Elephas maximus indicus: one gene and its partner. The protein of the gene in region 1 interacts with the protein of each later gene in a pairwise test. Links are inferred from orthologs where the notes say so. Each region holds a gene or a part of one and is shown in the gene's direction. Other genes may lie near its edges.

Evidence for each region. The genes of interacting proteins can lie anywhere in the genome.
Region 2: the proteins of CRY1 (region 1) and PER2 interact in a two-hybrid assay, tested with the Homo sapiens proteins (5 studies listed by BioGRID, with this or other methods). The link is inferred for Elephas maximus indicus from reciprocal best matches to the Homo sapiens genes CRY1 and PER2.

The regions. Positions count from the first base shown.
Region 1 is NC_064822.1:174,245,397-174,253,185, reverse strand, and holds the start of CRY1 (cryptochrome-1), read left to right. Parts: upstream 1-4,770; 5' UTR 4,771-5,642; coding exon 5,643-5,800; intron 5,801-7,789.
Region 2 is NC_064824.1:140,372,764-140,379,903, reverse strand, and holds the start of PER2 (period circadian protein homolog 2), read left to right. Parts: upstream 1-4,130; 5' UTR 4,131-4,239; intron 4,240-7,140. UniProt on the Homo sapiens protein: Transcriptional repressor which forms a core component of the circadian clock.

The DNA.
Region 1 (7,789 bases):
CCAGGTGGGGGCTGCGCTAGCAGTCAGATTGAGGCTTTGCACACCTCCAGGCACAGGGCAGGGCAGCGGGGGGAGGGGTGCACAGCAGCAGGGAGAAGTGGCTGTGGGGACCAGGCAGGGAGCAGCTGTGCAGGTGCCTGGTGCATGGCTGGCAGTGGCAGACCCTGGCTGCCCCACTCTGCTGGTGCAGCTGCTACAGCCACCTGGACCAGGAGCAAAGCAGCCTCAGCAGGTTTGCTGGGAGCGAACAGCTGCGTGGCTGCTGGGCCTGTGAATGGCCAGGAGGAGGGGAAGGAGATGAAGGAGGAAGCTCTTCTGGGATTGAGATGCACCCTGGAGCTCTCCAGCTCATTTACTCTGGGAGTCTGGGGTCTTTAAAACCATTAGGAGGAAATAATAAACAAAAGGAGAGCTGCTTTCCCTTAAAAAAAAAAAAAACCCTTATGGGGCCATGAATGCATATGCAGTCGGACATTGCCCAAATGGATGTTATACAGCACATGACTGCATATAATTTTAAATATTCTTCTATAAAACAAAGGCATCTGACTGTGTAGATAATAACAAAAATGGATAAGATTTCAAAGAATGGGAATTCCAAAACACTTAATCATGCTCATGAATGACCAAGAGGCGGTCATTCAAACAGAACAAGAGGATACTACATGGTTTAAAATCAGGAAAGGTGTGCAGCAGGCAGGGCCAGATTAAGGCATGTGAGGACCCTAAACACGGATAATCTGTGGTGCCTCCTCCTCTGCTTATTCACACATTCCAAAGGGATATATGAGTTATATATACACATTACACATGTGTGTGTCTCAGCTATCTATGATGTAATTTCTTTTTAAACGTGACTATAACATTTGCGATTGAAAGCAAAGGTGATGTATGCCATTTTAGTGGAATGAGATGAACTGTAGCTTTTGTCAATTTCATTTAGTTCCCTGCCAGTTCCCTTCCACTGCAGTGGTCACTCTTCCTGTGTCCCGTCTGCTTGGCATCTATAGGTCTTTGCTTTGGGCAAATGGTGCCTCTGTTTCTTGTTGCCCTCAGCACGTGTTTACCTTGCTTATTGGGTAGTCCATCCCTGGTATCAGGGTTGTATCCTTTCACTGTACTTATTCAACCTGTATGCTGGCAAATAATCTGAGAAGCTGGACTATATGAAGAAGAACATGGCAGCGGGATTGGAGGAAGACTCATTAACAACCTGTGATACGCTGAAGGCACAACTTTGCTTGCTGAAAGCAAGAGAACTTGAAGCACTTACTGACGAAGATCAGAGACTACAGCCTTCAGTATGGATTACACCTCAACATAAAGAAAACAAAAATCCTCACAAGTGGGCCAATAAGCAACATCATGATAAATGGAGAAAATATTTTAAAGTTGTCAAGGATTTCTTTTAACTCAGCGCCACAATCAATGTCCATGGAAGCAGCAGTCAAGAAATGAAACAATGTATTGCACTGGGCAAATTGCAAAAGACCTCTTCAAAGCAATAAAAAGCAAAGATGTCACTTTGAGGACATGACCCAAGCCATGGTATTTTCAATCACCTCATATACATGCAAAAGCTGAACAATGAATAAAGGAGACAAGAAGAAATGATGCCCTTGAATTACAGTGTTGGCAAAAAATATTGAAAATACCAAGGACTGCCAGAAGAACAAAAAAAACCTGTCTTAGAAGAACTACAGCCAAAATGGTGCTTAGAAGCAAGGATGGCTAGAGTTCATCTCACATACTTTGGACATGTTATCAGGAGGGACCAGTTCCTGGAAAAGGACATCATGCTTGGTAAAGTAGAGGGTCAGCAAAAAAGAGGAAGACCCTCAGTGAGAGGGACTGACACAGTGGCTGCAACAATGGGCCCAAACATAGCAATGACTGTGAGGATAGTGCAAGACCGGGCAGTGTCTCATTCCTATGAGTAGGAACCAACCCAACAGCACCCAACAGCAACAACAAAACATGGACTGCCAGAAGAATGAATAAACTTTGGAAGAAGTACAGCCAGAATGTTCCCTAGAAGGGAGGATGGTGAGACTTTGTCTCACATACTTTGTACATGTTATCAGGAGAGACCAGTCCTTGAAGGACATCATGCTTGATAAAGTAGGAACCAAAAACACCAAACCCATTGCTGTCGAGTCAATTCTGATTCATAATGACCCTACAGGGCAGAGTACAACTGCCCCATAGGGTTTCCAAGGGGTGGCTGTTGGATCTGAACTGCTAACTTTTTGGTTAGCAGCCAAGCTCTTAACCACTATGCCATCAGGGCTTGGTAAAGTAGAGGTCAACAAAAAAGAGGAAGACCCTCAATGAGATGGATTGACACACCGGCTGCAACAATAGGTTCAAATGCTGCAACAATTGTTAGGATGGTGTAGGACCAAGCAATGTTATTGTTCTGTTGCACACAGGGTCACTATGGGTCAGAACCGACTCAATGGCGCCCAACGACAACAGAAAGCAAAGAAAGGATGATATACCCTCCCCGTGGCAACAGGGGTAGGGAAGAGTGTTTAGACATATTGGCTTTTTAGATGACTTAATTTACTTTATTGCCATTTCCTTCTTCCTTTTAACCTTGCCACCCAAACTGGTGGCAAACAATATACATTCATTCATTCAACAAACATTTTAGTGTATAAACGTCAGGGTCTGGACTAGGTGTTGATGATGCAAAAAGATGAACTAGACAGAAACCTTGCCCTTAGGAAGTCAAACTTTAATGGAGTCAGAGACACTATATTACTGAGCACTGTCTTCCTACTAGGTACAACATGCTGAGGATACAGTAGAGAATACCAAAAAAAAAAAAAAAAAACCCAAATCCATGGCTGACAAGTCAGTTTCAACACATGGCTTCCCCATGTGCTACAGAGAAATAAGCTCCATAGGGTTTCCTTGGCCCTAATCTTTATGGAAACCCTGGTGGTGTAGTGATTAAGAGCTATGTCTGCTAACCAAAAAGGTCGGCAGTTCAAATCAACCAGGCACTCTTTGGAAACTCTATGGGGCGATTCTTCTCTGTCCTATAGGGTCGCTATGGGCCGGACTCAACAGCAATAGGTTTGGTTTTTCTTTTTTTTTAATCTTTACAGAGCCCTGGTGGTGTAGTAGAAACCCTGGTGGTGTAGTGACTAAGAGCTATGGCTGCAAACCAAAAGGTTGGCAGTTCAAATCCATCAGGAGCTCCTTGTAAACCCTATGGGGCAGTTATACCCTGTCCTATAGGGTTGCTATAAGTCCGAATTGACTCAACAGCAATGTATGTGGTGTGTGTGGTGGTGGTGGTGCAGTGGTTAAAAGCTTGGCTGCTAATCAAAAGATTGGCAGTTCAAATCCACCAGCTGCTCCTTGGAAGCCCTACGGGTCAGCTCTACTCTGTTCTATAACACTGGGTTTGATTTTTTGGTTTGGTTTGGAATCTTTACAGAAGCTGATCGTCAGGCCTTTCTTTCAAGGCACCACTGGGTGGGTTTGAACTGGCATCCTTTTGGTTCGTGGCCAACCTCAAAACGTTTGGGCCACCCAAGAGCCTTAGGTACTACAGTAAAACCAAACACCAAACCCCTTGCAGTTGAGTTGATTCCAACTCATAGCAACACTACAGGACAGAGTAGAACTGCCCCACAGTGTTTCCAAGGATCTGAACCAGCCCAGTGCTGTCGAGTCAATTCTGACTCATAGTGACCCTATACGACAGGGCAGAACTGCCCCATAGAGTTTCCAAGGAGCACCTGGTGGATTCGAACTGCCGGCCCTTTGGTTACCAGCCATAGCACTTAAACACTACACCACACTAGGTTTAGGTTTTACAGTGTATTAAGTGATGTATCAGACACATGTGTGGAGGGCTGAGGGGGAGGCCCTAAACCCACCCTGGGAGTCAGAAATAATTTCACAAATTAGGTAACACTTCATCTGAGTCTAAAGGGATGTGTAGAAATACACTAGGTAGCTCAAAGTTGGTTATAGTAAGCAGCAGGTTCCAAAGGATATTTTTATAGAGACAAAAAGAATAGCAACCTCACAAGTTAGGAGTCACAGATTGCAGGCTTCAGGAGGGCTGTGGTTTTTGTCTCTTTTACGGAGCACAGTTCTACTGACACACGTGGGGTCACCATGAGCAGGAATCCAATCAATGGCAAGCGATTTGGGTTTTTCTGGTATTCTCTCTTGTACCCCCCGCCCCCTGAGCCTTGAAAATGTCTGGCACATAACAGGCTCTCAGTAAGTAATTGTTGAATGAATACAAGGCCATCATGTGTTCAAGAAATGACATGGCCCACAGTCCATTATCTCTACAAAGGCAGGCAAGGGCCGCATCAGGAACAGGTAAATCGACACATCACTGTCGGAGTCCAAGCGTACCGCGCCACAGACGCACAGAATGGTAGGAGCGCCAGTTATAGACACGCCAAAGCAGGGCTCTCCGACCAAAGCTGGACCGAAGCACATGGTTTGGGCTGGAAGTCTAAGTGGAGCCTCCCAAACTCCTGCTTCCACCCCAATCTCCCCTTCTCCTGGCCAGGCTTCACGGTTGACTCCCAGAGGGCCGCCTTCCCGGCCTCCCACCGCCCTACGGAAGGAATCGCCCTGCGCGCTCCAGACCGCAGGGACGCAGAGAGAGCGCACGCGCGCCTCCCAGTGCTGAGCGCGTGCCCGCGAGCTCCCCGCATCCCCGTGCTCATCCGGGCCTCAGCGAGCCTCAGCCAATAGTGGCCGCTCACGGCCCCCGGGGGCGGAGCCAAGCCTTCCCTCACATGGGGCCTGTGGTCATCGCTGGCGCCTGTGGGGACCGCGACCAGACGGCCGAGGAAAGGGCCAGAGGCAGGGATCCCAGCACTGGGGCGAGGATCTACAGTCTGGAGCTGCTGCTGCTCTCCGGAAGTGATCGAAACACGAGAAGATTCCTCAGCCAGAGCCGGTGTAGTAAACACACTTCAGAAACGTGAGGTGCCGGTGGTCACGTGGGGAGTGTGCTCGCCAATGAGGAGCCGGGGGCGGGGCCGAGGCCGCTGACGCGTCGGCGGCGGCGGCGGCGGAATCACCCGGGCAGCCTCGGGACTGGTCACTGGCCGGCAACCGTCCAGCGTCCTCGACCACCGCCTTCGTCCTCGTTCGTTTGTCCCGGGCCGCGAGGCAGAGTTCCTGACAGTGGCCGAATCCTCTCTCATTTCTCTGGGTGACTCACCTGCGCCGGGCCGTTTTCTCCTCGAGGGCAGCCTTGGTGGGGCGAGGCTTCCGTGACGAACCTTCTGGGGCCGCCTTTGCCTTCTCGGGCCGTCGTGGCGGCTCGCGCTCCTGGAACTTGCTCACCCTCGGGGGTTCCGAGGCCGTCGAAGTTATGCGTCTCCTCCAGGCGGTTGAGGCCTGCGCCGGGTCCTAAAGGGCGTCACACCCGGGCTGGGCAGCCTCCATTCATCTTCCAACTGCGCCTCCAGCGCCCTCTCCTTCGCACGTCCCCTCCTCGGATTCATTTTTTCCTGTCCCCCCTCTGCCGCCCTTTCTTACTCCTTGGGCTTGGCGATTCTCCTGGAAGCGAAGGGGTCGGCTATGAGCCGGACCTTGCTTGCTTGAAATTCTCTCTGGAGGAACTCGGCGCTGACCCGCTGGCCGCCGGGATGGGGGTGAACGCCGTGCACTGGTTCCGAAAGGGGCTCCGGCTGCACGACAACCCCGCCCTGAAGGAGTGCATTCAGGGCGCCGACACCATCCGCTGCGTCTACATCCTCGACCCCTGGTTCGCCGGCTCGTCTAACGTGGGGATCAACAGGTGGCGGTGAGTCCATCCCCCGAGTGGCGTTAATGTGTGTTTGGTCACTCAGGACCTTCTCTGCGATCGGCCAAGTCTGAGAAATTTAGCCCTGGGAGCGCCTTGCTTGTAACGTTTAAGAACTGTAGCTGTTTCATGTAAACATCCAGGGGAATTGGCTAGAGAGTGTTGACCAGCTGGGACCCCTTGGCCTTCAGCTGTGAGTGGTAATAGAAGCTCTGCCCTCGAATTTATGGAGAATTCTTAGTGGTGGAGCTAAAGAAACACTCTTTTCATCCTTAATGGCCTGTGGGTTGATTTCGTTGCCCTCTGTGTGGTGTTCGAAAGGATTGTGGCTTTTAATATTTACGTTTGTGTGAATATAGGTAAATAACAACGACAACAAAAAAAACCCGTTGCTGTCGAGTCGAATCCGACTTATAGCGACCCTATTGGACGGGGTAGAACTGCCCCATAGGGTTTCCAAGGAGCGGCTGGTGGATTCGAACTGCTGACCTTTTGGTTAGCAGCCGAGCTGTTAACCACTGCACCACCAGGGCTCCAAGGTAGCTGTTAGTATTGAGAAAATCATTCCTTTAAACTACCAAACCAAAAAAAAAAAAAAAAACCTATTGTTGTCTAGTCCAATCTGACTAATAGTGACCCTATAGGACGGGTAGAGCTGCCCAACAGAGTTTTCAAGAACATCCAGATGGATTTGAACTGCCGACCTTTTGGTTAGCAGCGGTAGCACTTAACCACTACGCCACCAGGGTTTTCAAGTCCAGTTTTCTTCCACCTTGAGGCAACCATAGGAAAAGCAAGGAAGCAGCATTTTCTCGTTTCCTTTGCTCAGCTCCTCCCAACTCCTCCTTGTGGCTGAGGAGACAAAGCACACTTTTTCTTTCTAGGCGAAGTATAATCCTTCTAGGGATCAGAGAACTGGGAGAAATCTTAGAGAAGCTTGATGATCTTTTCCTGGAATACCAGGCTAGGTGATTTGTTAGGCTCCCTGATAGACATGAAATAATTCATGCAAACATTATTGATCACCTGTCATACGCCAGGTACTGCTTTAAATGCTAGCGGTATAACAGTAAGAAAAATAGACTAAAATTTCTGTCCTCTTTGAGTTTATGTCCCTGGAAATAAAATACATAGTATTTTAGGTGATGGTAAGTGTCGTGGAGAAAAACAGAGCAGAGAAAAGGTTTAAGGAATACGGAGTTGGGGATGCAATTTAAAATGTGATCAGGGAAAAGCTCACAGGTTCGCTCAAAGGTGGCATTTGAGCAAACACTTGAACCCAAAAACACCCAAACCCACGGCCATCAAGTCGATTCCAACTCATAGCGACCCTACAGGACAGAGTAGAACTGCCCCGTGAGTTTCCAAGGAGCGCCTGGTGGATTCGAATTGCCGACCTTTTTGGTTAGCAGCCGTAGCACTTAACCACTACGCCACCAGGGTTTCCAAAAAGAGGTGATGAAATATGAATATCCAGGGGGAAGAGCATTCCAGGCAGAGGGAACACTAAAGGAAAAGGCCCTGAGGTGGAAATGTGACCTTTGAGGAACAGCAGAAGAAGCCAATATGATTTCAGAACAGAATAAGTGAGGGGAAAAGTAGTAGGAGAAGAAGCCAGAGATATGATAGGACCAATTGAGTAGAACTTTGTAGACAGTTGTTAAGATTTGGGCTTTTACTCTGGGTGAAATAGGAATAATTGCAGGGTTGTGAGCAGAGAAGTGATGTCATCTGACTTAAGATTGAAAACAATTTCTCTGGCTGTGGTTCTGAGAATAGACTGAACTGAGGGTAAAGGGGTAGAGGTGGACAAAAAGCCGGGAGACCAGTTAGGAGCTGTTGCACTCATCCAGGTGAGCGACGATAATGGCTTGGTCCATGGTGATAATGGTGATGTGGTGAGAAGTTGTTGAGAGGAGTTGGAGACAACTCACATAGACAGCTCTTGATTTCAAGGGGTTTTGCTCTAAGAGAATCAGAGAGAGAAAT
Region 2 (7,140 bases), on another chromosome or scaffold:
GCGAGCCCCACCTCCCCCTTCAGACTCTGCACCTTCAGAGACAAGGCCCGGCTCCTCTCGCAGACCCTACACCTTCGGGGGCAGCCAGGCCCACCTCCTCCCTCAGACTGTGCCCCTTCAGAGCCAGCTAGCCCCACCTCCCCGCTCAGACCCTGTACTTGAAGGGTCAAACACTGCCTATCTTCTCAAATCCTACATCTTCAAGGGAACAGCCAGCCTCACCTCCCACCTTAGACCCTGCACCTTTAGAGCCTGACCCAGCAGGCACTGTGCTGCCCAGGAGCTTGCAACCCATTTCCTGTTCCCTTAAATCTGTGCCCTCTACCCCATCTGAGAAATGCCGAGCATGTTCTTCCCTTTGGTTTTCTAACTCCAGGTCTTTGAACAAGTCATTATAATAGTTTGTCTTCTCGAGTCACCCTTTGAAATCTCTGTTTAGCTCTTTTACTTCATCATTTCTTCCTTTTGCTTTAGCTACTCTAAGTTTAAGAGCAAGTTTCAGAGTCTCTTCTGACACCCATTTTGGTCTTTTCTTTTCTATCTTTTTGATGAACTCTTGCTTTCTTCACGTATGATGTCCTTGATGTCATCTCACAACTCATTTGGTCTTCAGTCGTTAGTGTTCAATACATCAACTCTAATCTATTCTTGAGATGGTCTTTAAATTGAGGTGGGATGGGTATACTCGAAATCATACTTTGGTTCCCATGGACTTGTTCTAATTTTCTTCAACTTCAAGTTGAGCTTGTATAGCAGCAATTGATAGCCTGTTCTGACTGATGATACTGAGCTTTTCATCGTCTCTTTCCTCAGATGTAGTTGATTTGATTCCTGTGTATTCCATCTGGTGAGGTCCACGTGGATAGTCACCATTTATGTTGTTGAGAAAAGGTATTTGCAATGAAGTCATTGGTACTGCAAAATTCTATCACGCAATCTCCATTGTCATTTCTATCACCAAGGCCATATTTTCCAACTACCGATCCTTCTTCTTTGTTTCCAACTTTTGCATTCTAATCTCCAGTAATTATCAGTGCATCCTGATTGCATGTTTGATCAATTTCAGACTGCAGAAGCTGGTAAAAATCTTCAATTTCTTCATCTTTGGCCTTAGTGGTTAGTGCATAAATTTGAATATTAATTGTAATAAGTGGTCTTCCTTGTAGGTGTGTGGATATTATCCTATCACTGAGAGCGTTGTACTTCAGGATAGATCTTGAAATGGTCTTTTTGATGATGAACATGACACTATTCTGGAAGAAAATATTCAAGACACAAGTTGCAATATTGAAGGATTCTATGGGGAAAATACTAAACAATGCAGGAAGCATCAGAAGAAGATGGAAAGAATACATAGAGTCACTATACCAAAAAAAAAAAAAAAAACTGGTCAGTATTCAACCATTTCAGGAGGTAGTATATGATCAAGAACTGATGGTACCGAAGAAAGAGGTTCAAGCTGCACTGAAGGCATTGGCAAAAAGCAAGGCTCTGGGAATTGACAGAATACCAGTTGAGATGTTTCAACAAACAGGTGCAGTGCTGGAAGTGCTCACTCGTCTATGCCAAGAAATTTAGAAGACAGCTACCTGGCCAACCAACTGGAAGAGATCCATATTTGTACCCATTTCAAAGAAAGATGATTCAACCGAGTTCAGAAATTATTGAACAATATCATTAATACCACAGAAAACTAAAATTTTGTTGGCGATCATTAAAAACCAGTTGCAGCAATACACCAAGAGGGAACTGCCAGAAATTCAAGCCAGATTCAGAAGAGGATGTGGAACCAGGGATATCACTGCTGCTGTCAGATGAATCCTGACTGAAAGCAGAGAATACCAGAAAGATGTTTACCTGTGTTTTATTGACTATGCAGAGGCATTCAGCTGTGTGGATCATAACAAATTATGGATAACATTGCGAAGAATTGGAATTCCAGAACACCTAATTGTGCACATGAGAAACCTGTACGTAGATCAAAAGGCAGTTGTTCAAACAGAACAAGGGGATACTGAGTGGTTTAAAGTCAGGAAAGGCGTGCATCAGGGTTGTATCCTCTCACCATACTTACTCAATCTGTATGCTGAGCAAATAATCTGAGAAGCTGGACTATATGAAGAAGAACGGGGCATCAGGATTGGAGGAAGGGTCGTTAACAACCTACATTACCCAGATGACACAACCTTGCTTGGTGAAAGTGAAGAGGACTTGAAGCACTTACTGATGAAGATCAAAGACCACACAGCCTTCAATATGGATTACACCTCAACATAAAACAAAAATCCTCCCAACTGAACCAATAAGCAACATCACGACAAAGGGAGAAAAGATTGATGTCAAGGATTTCATTTTACTTGGATCCACGATCAATGCCCATGGAAGCAGCAGTAAAGGAATCAAATGACACATCGCATTGGGCAAATTTGCTGCAAAAGATGTCTTTAAAGTGTTAAAAGGCAAAGATGTCACTTTAAGGACCAAGGTGCGCCTGACCCGAGCCATGGTGTTCTCAATCACCTTATATCATGTGACAGCTGGACAATGAGTAAGGAAAACTGAGGAGGAAGAAGAATCGATGCCTTTGGATCATGGAGTTGGCAAAGAATATTGGATATACTGTGGACTTCCAGAAGAAGGAACAAATCTCTCCTGGAAGAAGTACAGCCCAAATACTTCCTAGAAGCAAAGATGGCAAGACTTTCTCTCATACTCTTTGTACATGTCATCAGGAAGGATCAGTCCCTGGAGAAGGACATCATGCTTGGTAGAGTAGAAGGTCATGAAAAAGAGGAAGACCCTCAACGAGCTGGATCGACACAGTGGCTACAACAATGGGATCAAGCATAACAGTGATTGTGAGGATGGTGCAAGACCAGGAGATGTTTAATTCTGTTGTGCAAGGGGTCACTATGAGCTGGAATCAACTTGGATGGCACCTCTAAACAACGATAACTGCATCTGAGCAGGTCTGCTCTCTCCACGGACACTTCAGACAGGGTTGGGGCCTTAAGAGGCCCCAAACAACTTTACCAAAAGAGAAAATGGTCTCAGCAAAGGTGCTCAGGGTCCAGAGCCGCCTCCCGGAATGACCCCACCCGTGGCTCCGGTGTCTCTGGAACTCGCCTTTCAGGAAGGCCCCCCTTTTGCAAACATCTCCCCGGTCCTACTCACACTTGGGTGCTGCTTCCGTCGTGGAGCCTCTGCGGGGAGCTCCGGCCCTGTGATTTATAACCTACATCACCCAGTTTAGCATTTGAGTTTCCCTTTTCACAGTGGGTGGGTCTTGCCTCCCTAATGATGTGGTTGGAACAGTGATATCATTCATTGATTAATTTATACCTCCCCGTGGTAACAATGATCGTATTTCCTGAGCCAAAAATTGTGACACATGGTCTCGAAAGCAAAAAAGGCGTCTGAAAGCGGACCATCCTGGGGATCTGGGACAAGTGTCGAGCACCTGCACCTCGGTAGTGGGCGGCCTGCAACCCGAGAGCCTCCCTCCGCCTGGGCAGCCTGGGCAGGATCAGCGACGCAGGGAGCGAGGGAGCGGAAGGCTGAATGGGAACCAGCGACTAAATGGGCACGCGCGTCTGAATGGGAGCGAGTCCACGGGTGGCACCGGCTGAATGAACGGGAGGGGTGACCGAGCGATTTCCGCAGGGAGGCTTTGGCCGCCGGGCCGCGCCTCTGGCCGGCCCCCCAGGTGGCGGCCTCCCCGGGCCTGGGCTTCGGCGGCGCACCGTCTCCCGGCAGAGGCGCGCCCCAGCCGCCAGCGCTGCGCTCGTCGCCCCGGACCCGGAGCTGCGGCCCGGCGCCCCCGCCCCGCAGTGGTACGCGCCACTCCGCGCTCCCCGGCCGCCCGGCGCGCGGCGTCCTGAATGGAAAGGCGGAAGTGGAAGGGACCACTGGGGAGGGCGCAGAGGGGGGCCCGTGCGCGCCGCGTCCTCATTGAGAACCGACGCGGGGAACATGGAGTTCCATGTGCGTCTTATGTAAAGAGAGCGGCAGGCGCCGCAGCCAATGGGCGCGCGCTGCTCGCCGGCCCCGCCCCCTCGGGTATGCAGATGAGGCGGCGTCGTGGCCAATGGCAGGCGCGGGGGCGGGCCGGCGCGCGCGGTCACGTTTTCCACTATGTGACAGCGGCGGCCGGTGAGCCCAGGCGGGGGCTGCGGAGAAGCTGCCGGGCGGACGGACGGACGGACGGACGGCGGCGGGACGGGGACGCGGGGCGCCTCGGTGAGTGCGGCCGGGGGTGCGGCGGCGCCGGCAGGTGGCGGGCGCTCTCGGCAGCCGGGCTCGCGCTTACGTAACTGCCTGCCGGGCGCGGGTGGGTCTGGGGTCGGCGCTCGGGGGGGTCTGGGGTCGGCGCTCGGGAGGGTCTGGGGTCGGCGCTCGGGAGGGTCTGGGGTCGGCGCTCGGGAGGGTCTGGGGTCGGCCCACCGGCTCTGGGATCGGCGCTTGGGAGGGTCTGGGGTCAGCCCCCCGGGTCTGGGGTGGGCGCTCAGGCGGATCTGGGGTAGGAGCTCGGGTGGGTCTGGAGTCTGCGCTCTGAGTCTGGTGTCCGCTGCCCGGGCCCGGGGTCGGCGCTCGGGTGGCGCTGGGGTCCGCGTCCCGGGTCTAGAGTTGGCGCTTGGTCGGGGCTGGGGTCCACGCGCGAATCTGGGGTCTGCGGTCGAGAGGGTCTGGGATCCAAGCGGGCGGCGGCGCCCGGCTGCCTTCCTCAGCCCCCCGCCACGGGCACGCGAACCCCTAGTGTTCTGGGAAATTTGAATGCTCCGAGCTTGCAAACGGTGAAGACGGCGCTGGGGTGGGGAGTGTGCAGAGGAAATTCAGTCTATTCTGATACTAACGGATATCAGGACTGAGCGTGTGCCGGCGCTGTGTATTTGCTAAGGCAAACCTTGCGGAGACTCTGCGCGGTGGGTACTCTTGTCCCCATTTTACAGGTCAAGAAACTGAGCTTCAAAGAGGTTAGGTGGCATTTCTTTCATGAAAACCCCTGGGCCTTCAGTGGGGAGAGGACCTGGAAGGCCAAGGCCACACCAAGGGCCGCTGCTGTCACTGGGCACATGGAGAGCCCTTTTGGAAGCCAGCTTCCCCCTCTGAGGCCAGACAAGTCTCAGGCCACTGATGGGGGCAATGGCCAATCACCCACTGTAGCAAGGCCACTGGTCTTCCAGCTGGAAAATCCCTGTGCCAGGCCAGGCCTAGGAACCCTGACAGCGGGGAGTCTCGATGATGCTCAGCCCCTTTGCCAACCCTGGTCCCCCAGGTCAATTTCTTTTCCCCAGGGCAGGTAGAAGGGGGGCTGCCCAGGCTGGTCTCTACTTTGTGGTGGGGCAGTCACACCATGTGCTGGGATGCCCCTTGGCTGCCAAGCCCCAGGGCCCAGACAGGGGTGGGCGGCAGTCTGCTTCCCTCCAGGAAGGCAGAGCAAAGGATAACAACTTGATTGCCAGGGTTTCTGTAACGACACAGAGGGAACCAGCTTGGAAAGCTGATTCATACGCACAGAGTGGCAGAGCCAGAAGGTACCTGGGAATCATCCAGGGCTTCACAGATGAGGAAACCGAGAGCCAGACATGTGCTGGAAACACACTGTCGTGGGGGGCGGTGGGGGGAGGGTGCCAGGGCAATGTCTCCAGGTCTTTCCATCACACCTAAGGGTCTTGATCTGGGTCAGGCTGAGTCTGAACACCTGAAACTGGGCCAGGGTTTGGAAGGAAGGGCCTTAGGTCCCCCAAGTGTTCAGACCCTAGCACCGTGGCAGAGCTCTGTCTGTGAACACTTCTCTTCCCCACCCTACCTCCCGGTTCCTAGGGGGAGATGCCCTGCCCCACCGCACCTGGGCTTTCTGGTCCAGGACTGGGTTTGCCTGCGAAGGGAAACAGGATGAAGGCTGCAATTAGAAACTGAGTTTTAAATCCAAGTCTAGTCGCTTAGGTAAGGTGTATTCGTGAAAAGAGGAGAGGAGTCCTTTTTTTTTTTTTTTTAAGTAGAAGCTGTGTGAACTGCCACTGAAGGATGGGTGCCGTGGGTGTTCTGCCAGCTTGGAAGTCACCCACCACTGTAATCTCCTGTGATTCACCAGTAAAGAGCAAAGTCAGGGCTCTGGGAGATGAGGGGGTTGGAGCCATTGGCAGGAGGTGGGAGCCTGGCCACTACCCAGGTGGCAGTGCTTGGCGAATCCACCCCACCCCCACCTCCCTGCTCCTGCCCCCCACCTCTAGGTCTCAGCTACCTGTCTGTGTATATTCCTGGAATAAGTGCTCTCCAAGGTGCGTTTCAGCTCCCAGGTGCTGGGATCCCTGTTCCTGTTACTGAAGGTTTTCCCGGGCACTATGCAGGAGGGAAGGAGCTTTTTTTTTTTTTATGCAGGAGGGAAGGAGCCCTGGTGGTGCAGTGGTTAAAGAGCTCGGCAGCCAACTGAAAGGTTGGCGATTGGAACCAACCACCTGCTCAAAGAGAAAAAGATGTGGCAGTCTGCTTCCATAAAGATTACAGCCTCAGAAACCCTATGGGGCAGCTCTAGTCTGTCCTACAGGGTCGCTATGAGTCGGAATCGGAATCAACTCGAGGGCAGTGGGTTTGGGTTTTGGATGCCGGAGGGAGTGGTTTCTGACGTGCTTATGCCTGTGTGTGGCTTGGGAGGCGTGTCTCAAATAGGAGGGTGCCCCTCGCGTGCACTGTTTTTGATGCACATGTTTGGGACAGTTGTGGGAGGCACGCATCTGTCTTTAACTCTCTAGCTGCTATTGGGTTAATGGTATGCCAACCACTTTTTATGCCCCTGGATCTCGTAGGTAGTAGGTTAGTCTGCTTCTAACCCATTTAGTGTCAATGTGGGTCCCTTTTGAAATACACGAAGCTCAGCGGACCCAAGTTGGAGCCTCATTGTTGTGCAGGTTGAACATTCTATTAGGTGACGCTTCATGGATGTGTTAGTTCTATAAACTGTTGCCTTTTTTCCCCCTTTATTTCTGTGAGATAAGACTTGCAAGCATAATTATGGCTTTCCTGTGTGATAGTTAGGGAGCCCGGATGGGTTTGTTTTGGTTTTTCTGGGTCATCTTTGGAAAACCAGAGGTTCCCCATGTAACCTAATGGAAAGGTGCCCTCAGTAATTCTCTGTTTAGT